Saccharomyces cerevisiae S288C: one gene and its partners. The protein of the gene in region 1 interacts with the protein of each later gene in a pairwise test. Each region holds a gene or a part of one and is shown in the gene's direction. Other genes may lie near its edges.

What was found.
Region 2: the proteins of UIP3 (region 1) and HXT11 interact in a protein complementation assay, tested with the Saccharomyces cerevisiae proteins (one large-scale study listed by BioGRID).
Region 3: the proteins of UIP3 (region 1) and GEX1 interact in a protein complementation assay, tested with the Saccharomyces cerevisiae proteins (one large-scale study listed by BioGRID).
Region 4: the proteins of UIP3 (region 1) and VRG4 interact in a two-hybrid assay, tested with the Saccharomyces cerevisiae proteins (one large-scale study listed by BioGRID).

The regions. Positions count from the first base shown.
Region 1 is NC_001133.9:181,865-185,167, forward strand, and holds UIP3 (DUP240 family protein UIP3), read left to right. Parts: upstream 1-1,905; coding exon 1,906-2,613; downstream 2,614-3,303. Other genes in the region: KTD1 (DUP240 family protein), read left to right, coding at 3,028-3,303.
Region 2 is NC_001147.6:23,292-27,757, forward strand, and holds HXT11 (hexose transporter HXT11), read left to right. Parts: upstream 1-1,981; coding exon 1,982-3,685; downstream 3,686-4,466. Other genes in the region: oligo-1,6-glucosidase IMA2, read right to left, coding at 1-1,003; YOL155W-A (uncharacterized protein), read left to right, coding at 3,793-3,927. UniProt on the Saccharomyces cerevisiae protein: Probable glucose transporter.
Region 3 is NC_001135.5:5,659-10,134, reverse strand, and holds GEX1 (glutathione exchanger), read left to right. Parts: upstream 1-1,808; coding exon 1,809-3,656; downstream 3,657-4,476. Other genes in the region: VBA3 (basic amino acid transporter), read right to left, coding at 1-429.
Region 4 is NC_001139.9:74,636-78,703, forward strand, and holds VRG4 (GDP-mannose transporter), read left to right. Parts: upstream 1-2,258; coding exon 2,259-3,272; downstream 3,273-4,068. Other genes in the region: SDT1 (nucleotidase), read right to left, coding at 3,380-4,068. UniProt on the Saccharomyces cerevisiae protein: Involved in the import of GDP-mannose from the cytoplasm into the Golgi lumen. Defective copy causes severe glycosylation defect and abnormal retention of soluble endoplasmic reticulum proteins. Involved in vanadate sensitivity.

The DNA.
Region 1 (3,303 bases):
ACAGCATTTTGTTTCTGGATGATCCCTGCAGGTTCATACTACTAAGTAAATCTTGAACAGTTCAAATTTCAACAATTCAGAAACCGCTCTTTTTATATATACTCTACCAAACGAGATGAAACAGCATTTTTTTACTCTTATAAGGTACCAATATTTTGACGTATGCTTTCTTTAACGTTCACGATCGGGCTGGGCCATTAAACTTACCTTAGATATTATTTGGAACAGCACCGCAAGTGCTGATGTCCCAGAAATGGGCGCCGGTTCAATTAGGTCGTGAAGTCAGACATATGGAGACTCTCGGACTGAAAGCACTAAGGGATGATAGCTGGCATGCCAATTCCATTTTAAATTTACACATCAAGTTACAGGGTTTGGGAAAATCACGTTCAAAGCCTGAAAATTTGAGGTTGTTCACGGAAATCATTTGGTTATGTCTGTCGGCCTGCTATTTAGAGACATTTTTTATTGCAACAACCTACTCTATGCACTTACACGGAATCGCAGAATAACGCGCGCACAACACAATTGGGAAACGATAGGATTTTGAATAGTGTATTGCTTTGTACCGATTTAAATAATTCTTTCTCGTGTTGAATCCGAGTTGAAGATGAGTATGCTTTGAAGAGGTGAAATATCATCAGTAAAAAAAAATAACGACAACTGCAGGACTCGAACCTGCGCGGGCAAAGCCCAAAAGATTTCTAATCTTTCGCCTTAACCACTCGGCCAAGTTGCCAAAATTGTATGTTATTTGTTGTATCTCAAAATGAGATATGTCAGTATGACAATACGTCACCCTGAACGTTCATAAAACACATATGAAACAACCTTATAACAAAACGAACAACATGAGACAAAACCCGACCTTCCCTAGCTGAACTACCCAAAGTATAAATGCCTGAACAATTAGTTTAGATCCGAGATTCCGCGCTTCCACCACTTAGTATGATTCATATTTTATATAATATATAAGATAAGTAACATTCCGTGAATTAATCTGATAAACTGTTTTGACAACTGGTTACTTCCCTAAGACTGTTTATATTAGGATTGTCAAGACACTCCGGTATTACTCGAGCCCGTAATACAACATTATTTTCAGTGATAAAATATGTAAACCAATTATAAGAAAAAGGATTGCGTTGCATCACAACTGTAAACCATTAATTAAAAAGAGCAATTGCTATTTAGATTTGTTGCTGAGAATTGGCTAAAAAATCTGATAATTGTAGGACTTCTATTATTGCTAGGGGCAATGTGTTGGAATGCAATTCTGTTGGAATAAAAATCCACTATCGTCTATCAACTAATAGTTATATTATCAATATATTATCATATACGGTGTAGAGATGATGGCATAAGGTATGAAAAGCTGTCATCGAAGTTAGAGGAAGCTGAAGTGTAAGGATTGATAATGCAATAGGATAATGAAACATATAAAACGGAATGAGGAATAATCGTAAGATTGGTATATAGAAATATAGACTCCATTATGGGGATTCCTAGACCCTCGAGGAGAACCTTCAAGTATATTCTGTATACCTAATATTATAGCCTTTATCAACAATGGAATCCCAACAATTATCTCAAAATTCCCCCAATTCTCAACATCCGACTGCCATGCAATGTGCTTTTCTGGATCTCACTCATGATCATAATGGCCCTGTAAAAGGCTCGCACTATTATTATTATATCTTCACTATATATTATTTCGGAGGCTGTACCTATCAGTGAAAAAACGCCTCTAAAAATGAAAAAAAAAAAGAATATGAAAGGGGTTCTGAATTGCTAAAATATTTCGTCAAAGCTCAATTAGTATCATGATCAAGTCGTAATTCGAATCAGCATAACAACCTCCAAAACCATATAATAACCTTACACAAGACAAGATATCAATTCAACATGCAAACCCCTTCAGAAAATACCGACGTCAAGTTGGATACTCTCGACGAACCCAGTGCACATTTAATCGAGGAAAATGTGGCTCTTCCAGAGGATACATTCAATTCGTACTGGAGTTATATACTTAATGAAATCGCTCGTTGTAAACCGCTAATGATTATGTTCCTAATACCTGTGTGTTTGGTTTTATTGATTACGTTTTTTCATGATATCAAAGGTATCCTTGTGTTTTTAGTGATTTCTCTTATCCTCTCTATTATCATTTTATTGATCGGTATAACTGCCTTCGTGTCTGAGACCTTGAATAAGGGTTTCATAATTAAGCTTTTAGTAGAAGTCATTACACGTAAACCAGCAGTAGGGGGGAAGGAATGGAGAATAATCGCATATAATATGAACCAGTATCTGTTTGACCATGGGATATGGCATACTCCGTATTACTTTTTTTGTGAACATAGGTGCCATAAATTTTTCAAAAGCCTTATCAAACAGACAAGGTCGAATGCACATTTGAGTTCACCAACGAACGGTGCAGAGAATACGCAGTCAAACACACCAGCAAAAGAGGTTTCAAATGAGATGGTAAAACCTTATATCTTTAGTTCTGATCCAGTTTTAGAAGCTTACCTTATTAAAGCTGCGGAAATTCACAAAGAAGCTGAATTTGAGTATTGGAGAAAGCAATACCCAGAGGTTGATTTGCCTTAGGGCCGAATTTTTGGTATTTATCTAGTATATTCTAATATAAAATGTACGAGCATCATTAACTTCAAGAACATTACGAAGCCCGCAATTAAGTGTCAGTCCATCTGGGTGTAAAAGTTATGTACGCTCGAAACAAATTTTATGTAGTTTACTTTAGATGCAAATGCTATTATATATTTTGCTTTATGATCCTCGGCTTGATGCTCGCCAACGTGAGATAGCTGGTCATCACAATAGATCAGCCGGGACGCTTTTCGATCACATCGAATCCCTTCGGGACGTTGCAACAATACGTGAAAAATGCCTCAAAAATAATAAATACAATGGTGAACAACGTTAAAAAAGCATAAAACAGCTGGCTATTTTGATCAGGATAACATCTATAAGTGCCATATTAAGGCAAGATATCAATTGACCATGCAAACACCTTCAGAAAATACCGACGTAAAGATGGATACTCTCGACGAACCCAGTGCACATTTAATCGAAGAGAATGTAGCTCTTCCCGAAGACACATTCAGTTCACATCTGAGTTATGTACTTTATGAAATTGCTCATTGTAAACCGATCATGTTTATGATCATCATAATCGTGAGTTTGATCTCATTGATTGTGCTTTTTCATGATAACGACGGGTGCACTGTGATCTTAGTGATGTCCCTTATAGTAGCCTCCATGGCTTTAATGGTGGTT
Region 2 (4,466 bases), on another chromosome or scaffold:
TGAAAAGTTCAGCAAGGGCAACCTTCCAATCCTTTAGTTCATATGGGATCAAATTTTGACGGAACTTGGGCGAAGTCCCGACATCAGTGTGGGAAAAGTTGAATAACTCACTAAGTTCGTGTCTTGATGCACTTGTATACAACCTCTTGGTTTCATCAGTAGCATGTTGCATTTCACCAACTGTCATAATTTCTCTGCCATCCTTCACTCTGTTTCTGATGAACTTGTTCATTTCTTGATGAAACTCATGGATACGTGGTCCGTTCATTGTGAAAGGATCACTGGGTTGCCACTTTGAGTTTTCGTCAATCACAGGAGCGTCTGGTAGACCAGCAACCTTGGAGTACAAGCTTCCCACATCAATTCTAAAGCCGTCTACACCATGGTCTAACCAGTATCCAACGGCACTTTCGTAGATTGCCTTTCTACAGTCCTCATTCTCCCAATTCAAATCAGGTTGGGTGGAGCAAAACAAACGCAAGTAAAACTCTTGTGTCTTTTCATCGAACGTCCATGCAGAACCACCGAAGTAAGACCTCCAATTGTTTGGAGGAATTGGCTTGCCTTCGGCGTCATAACCCTTAGGAGGTCTCCAGAAGAACCAGTCACGTTTTGGATTGGTTTTTGAGGATCTGCTCTCTTTGAACCATTCATGTTCGCTCGAGCAATGGTTGATGACTAAGTCGGTGATAAATTTCATACCAAGCTTATGTGTCTTTTCGATCAAGGCAAAGCAGTCCTCGTTCGTACCGTAGGTTGGCCAGACCTTTTCGTAGTTGGCAATATCGTAACCCATATCATCTTGTGGCGAGTCGTAGAATGGTGAGATCCAAATGGCATCGGCACCAAGCTCTTTGATATACTCCAACTTGGAGGCAATACCCTTCATATCACCCCACCCATCGTTGTTGGAGTCTTTGAAACTTGCGGGATAAATTTGATAGATTGTGGCCTCTTTCCACCACTTGGGTTCTGTTTCTGGATGTGCAGAAGAAATAGTCATTGTACGTTGCTTTCTTTTCTTTATGAAAAAACTTTCACTTTTGTTTGTGTGTTTGGACTGGTGAATGGAACATATATTCTAGTACAGCTAATTCCTCGAGTGAAGAAGTCTTTCTTACTTATATATGTCTTTTACGTGCCTATGGACGTCTTACGAATGATCGAAAATAAGAAAAGAACAAAGTAAATTTAGGATCTGGAAGGAGTGCTGTATGTAAACGAAGCTTTCAGTTTTAGGTAATGTTTGCACAACCTACATGATATAACATGGTATGTTCTGCAAGAGCGTGCCTGGCCCTTGGCCCGTTATAGCAGATCATACCATCTGCAAGCAGACCCCATTATTGCACTGCCTCCGCAATCTTGCGTATACGTAGTCCCACGACAAAGTACGAAGCGTAAACTGACCTTGTTCAGTTCCCCACAAAAATTACATAACCATTTCTCCGCGGAATTACATAATCATTTCTCCGCGAAAATTACATAATCATTTCTCCGTGCGAGTTATAAGTGCTTTTCTCGTGCATCCCTTGGCACTTCACAAAACCTTCTTTTTCTTTTTTTTCTTTATTTCAGGGGAAATCAGTGCAAAACTAAAAAAGAAAGAAATTTTGTGAAATGTAAACTCCAGGTGTCAAAAAATAAATTATATCCGTGGAAAATCAGGCGTCGGAAATTGTAGATGAAACCGCCTCCTCCACAATAAATGCTGACCACACGAACAATGCATACACTCGGACACCTTCGTTCAAAGTATCAGTAGCAGTTCGACACACCGTATACTACTTAGCTCTTAAGGTCTAGGCTCATCTTTCTCAGTTCCTCTTTTTCGCTAATTAAAGGTATATAATGTCACAGTTGTGTAACTAGAGAAGAGCACACTTGTTCCTATCTTTTTCTTCTTCTTTTTTTGGTATGAGTTGAAAAAAATAATCATTGCACAATTTAGTTCTAAACGCTTTTGTTATTACTCAATATCATGTCAGGTGTTAATAATACATCCGCAAATGAGTTATCTACTACCATGTCTAACTCTAACTCAGCAGTAGGCGCTCCCTCTGTTAAGACTGAACACGGTGACTCTAAAAATTCCCTTAACCTAGATGCCAATGAGCCACCTATTGACTTACCTCAAAAACCCCTCTCTGCGTATACCACCGTCGCAATCCTGTGTTTGATGATTGCATTTGGCGGCTTCATCTTTGGTTGGGATACCGGTACCATTTCTGGTTTTGTTAACCTTTCTGATTTCATCAGAAGGTTCGGTCAAAAAAATGACAAGGGAACCTACTACTTATCGAAAGTAAGAATGGGTTTGATCGTCTCAATATTCAACATTGGCTGCGCCATAGGCGGAATTGTCTTGTCAAAAGTCGGTGATATATATGGTCGTCGTATTGGATTGATTACAGTTACTGCCATTTACGTTGTAGGCATCCTAATCCAAATAACTTCCATAAACAAGTGGTACCAATACTTCATTGGAAGAATTATTTCTGGCCTAGGAGTGGGAGGCATTGCTGTCCTTTCCCCAATGTTGATATCTGAAGTTGCTCCCAAACATATCAGAGGAACTCTGGTCCAATTGTACCAGCTGATGGGTACGATGGGTATTTTTCTAGGATACTGTACCAATTACGGTACCAAGAACTATCACAACGCCACTCAATGGAGAGTCGGCCTTGGTCTTTGCTTTGCCTGGGCTACATTCATGGTTAGTGGAATGATGTTTGTACCAGAATCACCACGTTACCTGATTGAGGTTGGTAAAGATGAGGAAGCGAAACGTTCACTATCGAAATCCAACAAAGTCTCAGTTGACGATCCAGCCTTGCTAGTTGAATATGACACTATAAAGGCAGGAATTGAACTTGAAAAGCTGGCAGGTAACGCATCATGGTCTGAACTACTCTCCACTAAAACAAAGGTCTTTCAGCGTGTTCTCATGGGAGTGATGATCCAATCGCTGCAGCAATTAACCGGTGACAACTACTTCTTTTACTACGGTACCACCATCTTCAAATCTGTCGGTCTAAAGGACTCCTTTCAGACTTCGATCATTATCGGTGTGGTTAATTTTTTCTCTTCATTCATAGCGGTATACACCATTGAGAGGTTTGGACGCCGTACGTGTCTATTGTGGGGTGCTGCTTCTATGCTATGCTGCTTTGCTGTGTTTGCCTCCGTCGGTGTGACAAAGTTGTGGCCTCAAGGAAGCAGTCACCAAGACATTACTTCTCAGGGCGCCGGTAACTGTATGATTGTGTTTACTATGTTCTTCATTTTTTCGTTCGCCACCACTTGGGCAGGCGGCTGTTACGTTATTGTCTCAGAGACGTTTCCTCTTAGGGTCAAATCAAGAGGAATGGCAATCGCAACAGCTGCAAACTGGATGTGGGGTTTCCTGATTAGTTTCTTTACCCCATTCATTACCGGGGCAATCAACTTTTACTACGGTTACGTATTCTTAGGCTGTCTGGTTTTTGCATACTTTTATGTCTTTTTCTTTGTCCCAGAAACAAAAGGCCTGACACTGGAGGAGGTGAATACTATGTGGCTGGAAGGTGTGCCAGCATGGAAATCGGCCTCATGGGTGCCACCGGAGAGAAGAACCGCAGATTACGATGCTGATGCAATAGATCATGACAATAGACCAATTTACAAGAGGTTCTTTTCCAGCTGATCTTCTAGTTTTCGGTAAATTGGTAAAAAAGCAAAAAAAAAAATTGACGAAACTAATTCTCTATTATACATAATGTTTTTACTTTTGTACCCTTTAATTTCTAATGAATGTTTTATGGAAGCTTCAATAAATGCGTGACTGGCTATAGTTGTCGGATGGCAATCCATTATTATGTATACCGTATTATTAAGAGTGCAACTAGGCCCGACTATAAATCTAACACTCAGATCCTTGTACTGTAATGCATATTTATTTTTTCACAAGTTGCATGCTAATAATACCATGATATTTTTTGAAGCCTTGAAAAATAGTTCAAGCAGCTACGATATCATGAATCAATATACTCATTGCAGCCTATGTAATATATATAGGTTCCGTGTTACCACTCGTTTCTGATATTTTCGATATGGCTACACTGGGTTTTTCATGATGGAAATGTGATACTACCAGTTCCAATATATTTATCTTCCTTATCTATATGACACGCTGTTATTTTAGTTCAAGTCAGTGTCCAATTGGGGTGAGTGTCACGTGCACAACGACGGTAGTCGTTGGATGTGCTAAATGATGTTCTACTGCCAATGACTGCAAATACGTTCGAAGAGTATAAAATCGAAGGAAACGAATTAAGTTGCCAATCCTTACTGTAACTATAGCATGTTACATATATGTACCATAAGTATCACATTAAGGTTTCGCCATAGCCATGTGCCTATATTAAATAGAAATATCACATGGCGATCCACGGAATGTTTATAGATTTTCTTCTTTTGTCTATGGC
Region 3 (4,476 bases), on another chromosome or scaffold:
CAGCCCTGCAGAGCAGAGGGCAAAACCAAAGAAGTCAAACTTGAAGATTATGCCATTCATAAGTCTTTTAAAATTAACTTGGTGTCTGAACTTACTAAAAGTAAAGCTCGAGATTGTTCCTATAGCATCTTTAATTTGTTGAAGTATACCCTTATTCTCGGCCTTATATGTGAGTAAAAACATAATAATGGCAAGACCACCGATAGGAAGATTGATATAGAAGCACCACCTCCAGGTAACATGGGTTGTAAAGGCACCTCCGATTATAGGACCAACGATAGCAGCTACAGCAAATGCACAACTTAGGATGGAAATCACCAATGGACGTGACCTTTCACCAACCATCGTACAACCAATAACAAAGCAAAGCGTTTGAAGTCCGCTTCCCCCAACACTAGCAACAACTCTACCGACAATGAGCATATTCATTGAAGAGGCAAGGGCAGCAATTAGGGATCCGGCTTCAAAAATAAGTATTGCTAAAATGAGACTATGCTGGAAACCTATGATAGATGCGAATCTTCCCCAAATGAGACTCAGAATAGCATTTGGTAAACTGTAGCCTGTAACGAGCCAACCTGTTTTGGAGTAGTTTCCGAACTGTTCTGCGACCACGTCAATAATAGTTCCCACTATCAAAATATCCAGTGCAGTTATGAATAGTACAAGAGTTCACGAAGCCAGGCAGAGGTACAAGGAAAGTCCCATTGGAGAATCATTGCTACCTCTAGCATTCAATGAAGCGTCTGAACCACATGCTTCTTCTATCTCCTGCTGCGAAGAGTACTTAGTTTCCTCCATATTTTTGAATTTCTATCGATTAAGCTCTATACCAGGTATGATCTGGTCTGATCAGTTCTAGGTATAAGCATAACTAGAATACATCTATACATGTGTATATCTATATCTATATATATGTATATATATATATTTAAACCAAAAAAAAAAAAAAATTCGCTTCTCATAAAGGTGTGATGACACTATTATCTTTTGCATATCTTGTCGTCTCGTATCATGTACGCGCTGCATATGAGGTGCGGCGCTATCTGTTAAATATGTACCAATTTGCACCTGCTGCAAAGGAAATGTGGCACTACTTTTACTCGCATGTTAACTTTCACCTACTATATATAGAAAAAAGGGTGTTGTTTTCAATCGCTGACTAATTTGCTCAAATACTCTTTACAAAAAGGAAATTGTGTATCAGTAACCCTTACGGTTTGTTTATGAAGGAACTTTGCTCGTCCTACACCACCGGATCTAGGTACTCAATTTTTTGATGATTTTGCACTTGTGCGCATATCCTGTCGACAGGCACCGCATTTTTTTCCTTGTTTCAACAGACATAAACACAAGCTTCACTCATCAGTTTGAAAAGAGATAGTTTCGACGGTACAGTATTCTTGTCGTACAAAAGTCTTCGGTATAACTGGTTCGTCGTGGATTTTCGGAAACTAAGTTGATTGTACGACGACAGGTCAAAGTTAAAGTTAAAGTCACCAGGTGTATAGACACCACATTGAAGGGGTGTCACAGCAATTTTTTTTTTTTTTTTTTTTGATACTCAATAATTACGAGCATATAATTTTAGTACTTCCAAAAAAAAAGTTAAACAAAAAATAGTGACGAAAGGTGTCAGTAAAAGTATATATGAGAACATGGAATGTATTAAAGTAATTCCATTTCTAGCAGATGTAGCGACCGTAGAATCTTAAATACTATTTACATAAATAAGAAAAGTAAAATAGTTTTATGGACTGGAAAGAGAAAAAAAAAAAAAAGGAATAATCAAGTAAATAAATTATCGGATGAGTTCTAGTGTTGTTGGTGCCTCAAGTAATAAAAAAAGTGGAATTAGGCAGTCCTGTGAGATTATTGAGCGAGAACGTCACTCAAACGATGACACGTACTCTATGACATCGACCTTTTTTAAGCTCAAAGAAAACGAAATTATGTCTGCACAGTTTGATTCCTTGAAATATAAAATTCTACTGATAAGTACCGCGTTTGTATGTGGGTTTGGAATTAGTTTAGACTACACACTTAGATCGACCTATACGGGCTATGCGACGAACTCATATTCAGAACACTCCTTACTTTCAACTGTCCAAGTTATCAATGCTGTTGTAAGTGTCGGATCCCAAGTTGTCTACTCCAGACTCTCTGACCACTTCGGAAGACTAAGGCTTTTTTTAGTTGCAACTATTTTTTATATAATGGGAACCATCATTCAATCACAGGCGACCCGTCTCACAATGTATGCAGCAGGATCGGTTTTCTATAACTGTGGATACGTCGGAACAAATCTGCTCCTGACATTAATACTTTCTGATTTCTCCTCCTTGAAGTGGAGAATGTTTTACCAGTACGCCTCATATTGGCCATATATCATAATACCATGGATTTCAGGTAATATTATCACAGCAGCAAATCCTCAGAAAAACTGGTCCTGGAATATTGCAATGTGGGCTTTTATTTACCCACTCTCTGCCTTGCCAATTATATTTCTTATTCTTTATATGAAGTACAAATCTTCAAAGACTGCTGAGTGGAGATCTCTCAAAGAACAGGCTAGAAAGGAAAGAACGGGCGGATTATTTGAGAATTTGGTGTTTCTATTCTGGAAACTCGATATTGTTGGCATATTATTAATAACTGTGTCGCTAGGGTGTATCCTTGTCCCTTTGACGTTGGCTAATGAGACATCACAGAAGTGGCACAATTCAAAAATAATTGCCACTTTAGTTTCAGGTGGCTGTTTATTTTTCATTTTTTTATATTGGGAGGCCAAATTTGCCAAATCTCCTCTTCTACCGTTCAAATTACTAAGTGATCGTGGAATTTGGGCACCCCTTGGTGTTACTTTTTTCAATTTTTTCACCTTTTTCATTTCGTGTGACTATCTGTATCCTGTTTTGCTGGTATCGATGAAAGAATCGTCCACTTCGGCTGCTCGGATAGTAAACCTTCCTGACTTTGTTGCTGCTACTGCATCTCCATTCTACAGTTTGTTGGTGGCAAAGACAAGGAAACTGAAACTTTCTGTAATCGGAGGTTGTGCTGCATGGATGGTGTGCATGGGCCTTTTTTACAAATACAGAGGAGGATCTGGGTCTCATGAAGGTGTTATCGCTGCATCTGTTATCATGGGTTTGAGTGGTCTCCTATGCAGCAATTCAGTGATCGTCATACTGCAAGCCATGACTACGCATAGTAGGATGGCTGTAATAACCGGCATCCAGTATACCTTTTCAAAGCTAGGCGCTGCTATCGGTGCCTCCGTTTCTGGTGCCATATGGACACAAACCATGCCTAACCAACTCTACAAGAACCTTGGAAACGATACATTGGCAGAAATAGCATATGCATCACCTTATACATTCATTAGTGATTATCCTTGGGGCTCACCCGAAAGAGATGCTGTGGTTGAATCTTACAGATATGTTCAACGAATAATAATGACGGTTGGCTTGGCATGTACGGTACCGTTCTTTGCGTTTACAATGTTCATGAGAGACCCGGAACTAATAGACAAGGCGACACACGAAGAATTCACTGAAGATGGTTTGGTTGTCTTGCCAGATGAGGAAAATATTTTCTCTCAAATCAAGGCACTTTTTAGACATAATCGAAGTAACAAGAAATTAGGATGTTGATCCCCAAGCTGGTGAAAAAAGGGCAAAAAAAAATGAAAGCAAAATCACAAAAAAGGCAAAAACAAGTGATTTCTACACTTTTATTACTTCCGATAAAAATGACATAACAGGATAGGATAAACATGCTCGATAGACCCACATCTGAACTTGCGACGCATATAGCTGTGTCGTACTTTTTATTTTCACAAGCGTCGGTAAAGACTCAGCGTCGGTAAAGACTCAGCGTCGGTAAAGACTCAGCGTCGGTAAAGACTCAGCGTCAGTAAAAGAGTCAGCGTCATTGATATTGAAAGTGCGGGAGGAGTTACTATCCAATAAATGATGCTGGAAATGCGCTCTGTATGAATGCATTAATTATGTTGTACCGAAAAAGAAAGAAAGAAAGAAAAAAAAGGAGAATCATGTAACTTCTAGTAAGGGCGTCATGTCATAGCACTTTTCTAAGTGTATGCCATTGTAAATCATTCTAGGCGAAAAAAAGTGATATGTCTCCTGGTATTTTGTATTGTTGTCGTTACAAGTTGATGTGTTCCGTAGTGTGAGTGCAACATGCGATTTTGGTACCGCAAAAAAGGTACAGATCACATGGGCACAGATACAACAATTCTTTATGCCTGTATTGAGATCATAGTTTTCTTGGAGTCGGCAACAGTCTACGGGTGAACCCAATAATCCAGCAGTAAATCTACTAACCGAACATTGTGTCGGAATTTACACATTACTGATATAATTCGTCCCATTAAACTTGCGAGTGATTTCCAAAACAAGTACTACATTGAGCGTGTTCAGCGTGCCCAAAAAAAATGGACTTGAAAATCTT
Region 4 (4,068 bases), on another chromosome or scaffold:
TGCAGTCTTCATGCAGACACTTGAAATATACGACATTAGTAGCTCCCAAGGTAGTAGGCACATCCTGCGTAAATTCTCCACAACCATGTTGTATATATAGCAGCCATAGTATGACCGAGCACATGGGACGTACGAATAAAAGATTTTCTCAGATCCCTGAACTTGAGCGTCAACCATGAATTTCTCTACTTTTTTTTCGAGCAGTAATTACCATTTTAGGTTTGATTACAATCACAGCTTCAGCAGAATTTGATTTCGACGTAGGCTATGAAGAGTTTGTCCGTATCAACCCTGATAAGACCTTCTTAGAAAGTGAGATTGGCCTTTACGTTGGTTGGACCGAGGGTAGTCAACGGCAGATAACAACGATACCACATAATTCCACGTTGGCGGCATCACTACAAGAGTAGAATGGTTGTGGTGGTAATGGCACAGAAACCTCCATCGCTACGTCCACACTTACGATGAGTGGTATACCTATCGCTACGATAATGAAGCACAGAAAAAGTGTACTTATCATATTACCGCAACTATGTACGTGAGGTGTAAATTATGGCTCTCATAGGACATAAGTAGGACAGAAATTGAAATTTTTGTGTTGGCAGAGCGAAAGAAACTTGAATTCGTTTATGAGGAATAAATTCTCAGCTCCATCCATGGTTCCAGTTGACGCTATGATACGCAAATTCCTTTGTGATACAGGTATCATTTCTGCAATTCCTCGTAGATTGTTGATCATACCATAAGATTGATGCTGGGGAAAGTGGAGAAGCTAACTTAACGATTGAGGCCTTGGCAAACCCTGTTAAACCAGTACTATCGGCCTTAACATGCGACTTAGAGAGAGAGAGAGAGAGAGATGTTTGCGTTTGCGTCATGATAGAGATGCTACATCCACATAGTTGTTGTAGACATGTTTAAAGGTACAATTCTGCAACAACGCCTTGAAATTTTCCAAAACTAACCAAGCACATTGGAGTTACGCTTATATAGTAAGCCACTTCACTTGCGTTGCTGTAAAGGTTGATAACTACAGGTAGGAATTAATGAATGTTAAATAAAAAAGGGAAATACCATCATCTCGACAAGAAAGGCAAAATAACTTTTCAATCTCACCAAGACGCGCGAACGAAACTCGTGCGTCTATATTAGTATCTTGACGGCGCTTTTACATCATTAAAGGTGTAATAAAACTGAAGTCATGCGATGGCACTGAAATAATCAAAGTAACTATTTGTGATGGCATGCACTGTGATATGATCTCAAGGAAAAAAATGCAATGTCGGGCGCCAATACTTATGATCATGCTTAGTCTCGACATTGACCTTGCTTGCTACAGTAATCTGGTGTCCGAGTAGTGACATCTAGGTACCGGTGAGAACTATATCTTCATTACTACACTTGTCGCCCCTGAATATTATCGCTACACACGCGAAAGAGCTCTTGTTAAAGTTACTCTCGCATCATTGCGGTACATGTTTTGCATATTCATCTGAAGTAGGAAAGGGTATAAGCAGTATATGATGTACCATCTGCATAAGCGGTGTTTAATGCGTACCTATCGTTTAAGAACAAAAGGAACACACCCACACCCGCTCCAATACCATATTGAGAGAATAATGAGGTAACATATGCTTCTATTTGGTTCGATAAGACGGCTACTAGTCCAAAAAAAGTCAAACAACAATTTCAACAGCTACATTCTGAAGATAGAACGCATTTTTGCCTGAATATTGCAACTCAATAGACATTCTAAAGTGCTACGAGAAAAAAGCTTGTAATGGACCATGGCAATGTGCGCCATATATATATGCGGCTCCCTTATGAGTAGAAGAAAATATATGACTGGTGGTACAAAGTGGCATGGTGGTATATAGATGTAGGAACACCATTTGAGTTTGCCATAATGATTAAATTTCCCTTTTTATAAAGAATTAGCCGCCCATAACACGAAAAATATCACAGTTGACGAAAGAAGACACGTCGCCTAAACGCGTAATGAATCGCAATATACGAAAAGCTAAACGGGTTTTTCAGAATCCTCTTACCCAGCCTTGGATAATAGTTTTGGCCGAAAAAAAAAAAAAGAAAGAAAAAAATTGAAATTTCGCGATCCGAACAAACAATGAACAGAAAAACAGAATATATATAACGCTGCCAAGCCTATTTCTTGTTGCCGATTAATTGTTGACATCCTCTTAATTACCAAAAGAGCCTAAGAAAACAAACACACTAACCACACAGTATCTTTCGCCCGAATGTCTGAATTGAAAACAGGTCATGCAGGCCATAACCCTTGGGCTTCAGTTGCCAATTCCGGTCCGATCTCTATTTTATCCTACTGTGGTTCCTCTATTTTAATGACGGTGACTAACAAGTTCGTCGTCAATTTGAAGGATTTCAACATGAACTTTGTCATGCTTTTCGTGCAATCTTTGGTTTGTACTATAACCTTGATTATCCTACGTATACTGGGCTATGCGAAGTTCCGTTCATTAAACAAAACAGACGCCAAGAACTGGTTCCCTATTTCCTTTTTACTGGTCTTGATGATCTACACCTCTTCGAAGGCTTTACAATACTTGGCTGTTCCAATTTACACCATTTTCAAGAATTTGACTATTATCTTGATTGCTTATGGTGAGGTTCTCTTTTTTGGTGGCTCTGTCACCTCCATGGAATTGTCATCATTTTTGTTGATGGTCCTTTCTTCTGTCGTTGCAACTTGGGGTGACCAGCAAGCTGTGGCTGCCAAGGCTGCTTCATTGGCTGAAGGAGCAGCCGGTGCTGTTGCCTCCTTTAACCCAGGTTATTTCTGGATGTTCACCAACTGTATCACTTCTGCATTATTCGTTCTTATAATGAGAAAGAGAATTAAGTTAACTAACTTCAAGGATTTCGACACTATGTTTTACAACAATGTTTTGGCTCTACCTATTCTATTGCTGTTTTCTTTCTGTGTGGAAGATTGGTCTTCAGTTAATTTGACCAATAACTTTTCTAACGATTCGCTAACTGCTATGATCATCAGTGGTGTTGCATCCGTCGGTATTTCTTACTGTTCCGGTTGGTGTGTTCGTGTTACTTCGTCTACTACATATTCGATGGTAGGGGCTTTGAACAAGCTGCCAATTGCCTTGTCTGGTTTGATTTTCTTTGATGCTCCAAGAAACTTCTTATCTATTCTCTCCATTTTTATTGGTTTCCTATCAGGTATTATTTATGCTGTTGCCAAACAAAAGAAGCAACAAGCCCAACCTTTACGTAAATGAGAACTTACGGGGGGTGCAATTTATTTTTTTTTTTTGGTTTATTTTATTTTATAGAGGCATCTAATGCAAGTAGATTTATATACAATTATACTTAAAATTGATATACCTTAGAACAGGTCGGACACAACGTGTGGTAACTCCAATATATCACTAATGACAATAGCGCCTTCTGGTGTTTGCCCCAAAATTTCATTTACTTCATTCTCAACTAAATGAATACATGTTTTCATGCCCAATTTGATACCTGTCTCGATGTTTTTCCCACTGTCATCTATAAAATAAGCATTCTCGTATCTTGCCAACCCGCTTTCCTTCATGGCTTTTTCAAATGCTTTAACATGTGGTTTGCAGACCAGCGTATCTGTCCTAGAGTAGTCACAATATGTCAATCCATCAAATAAATCCGCTATACCCAACAATCTCAGGCAACGTATTGCGTGGTTTTTATAAGCGTTGGTGAAAAGCCACAATTTATCAATCTTTCCCGATTGTCTCAATCTCAACAGCATATTCCTTAATGGTATATCAGGTTTCAAGATATCTTGTAGTGGTAAGGAATCATCCACAAGCCGGTTATATTCCAGTGCGTTCACTTTGTGGAACATTACAAGTCCCCTTATGGCAAGTCCATACTCTTTGTAGTAAGAGTTATTCAAAACGTGAGCATCTTCAGGTGATAGTTTCAAGTGTGTTTGAAAGAACCTCAGTATAGATTGTTGCATAAGATCGTGAATTCTCGTGGATGATTTATAGAGACAGTTGTCGATATCAAAAAAGAAAACTTTTAAGTTCGGGT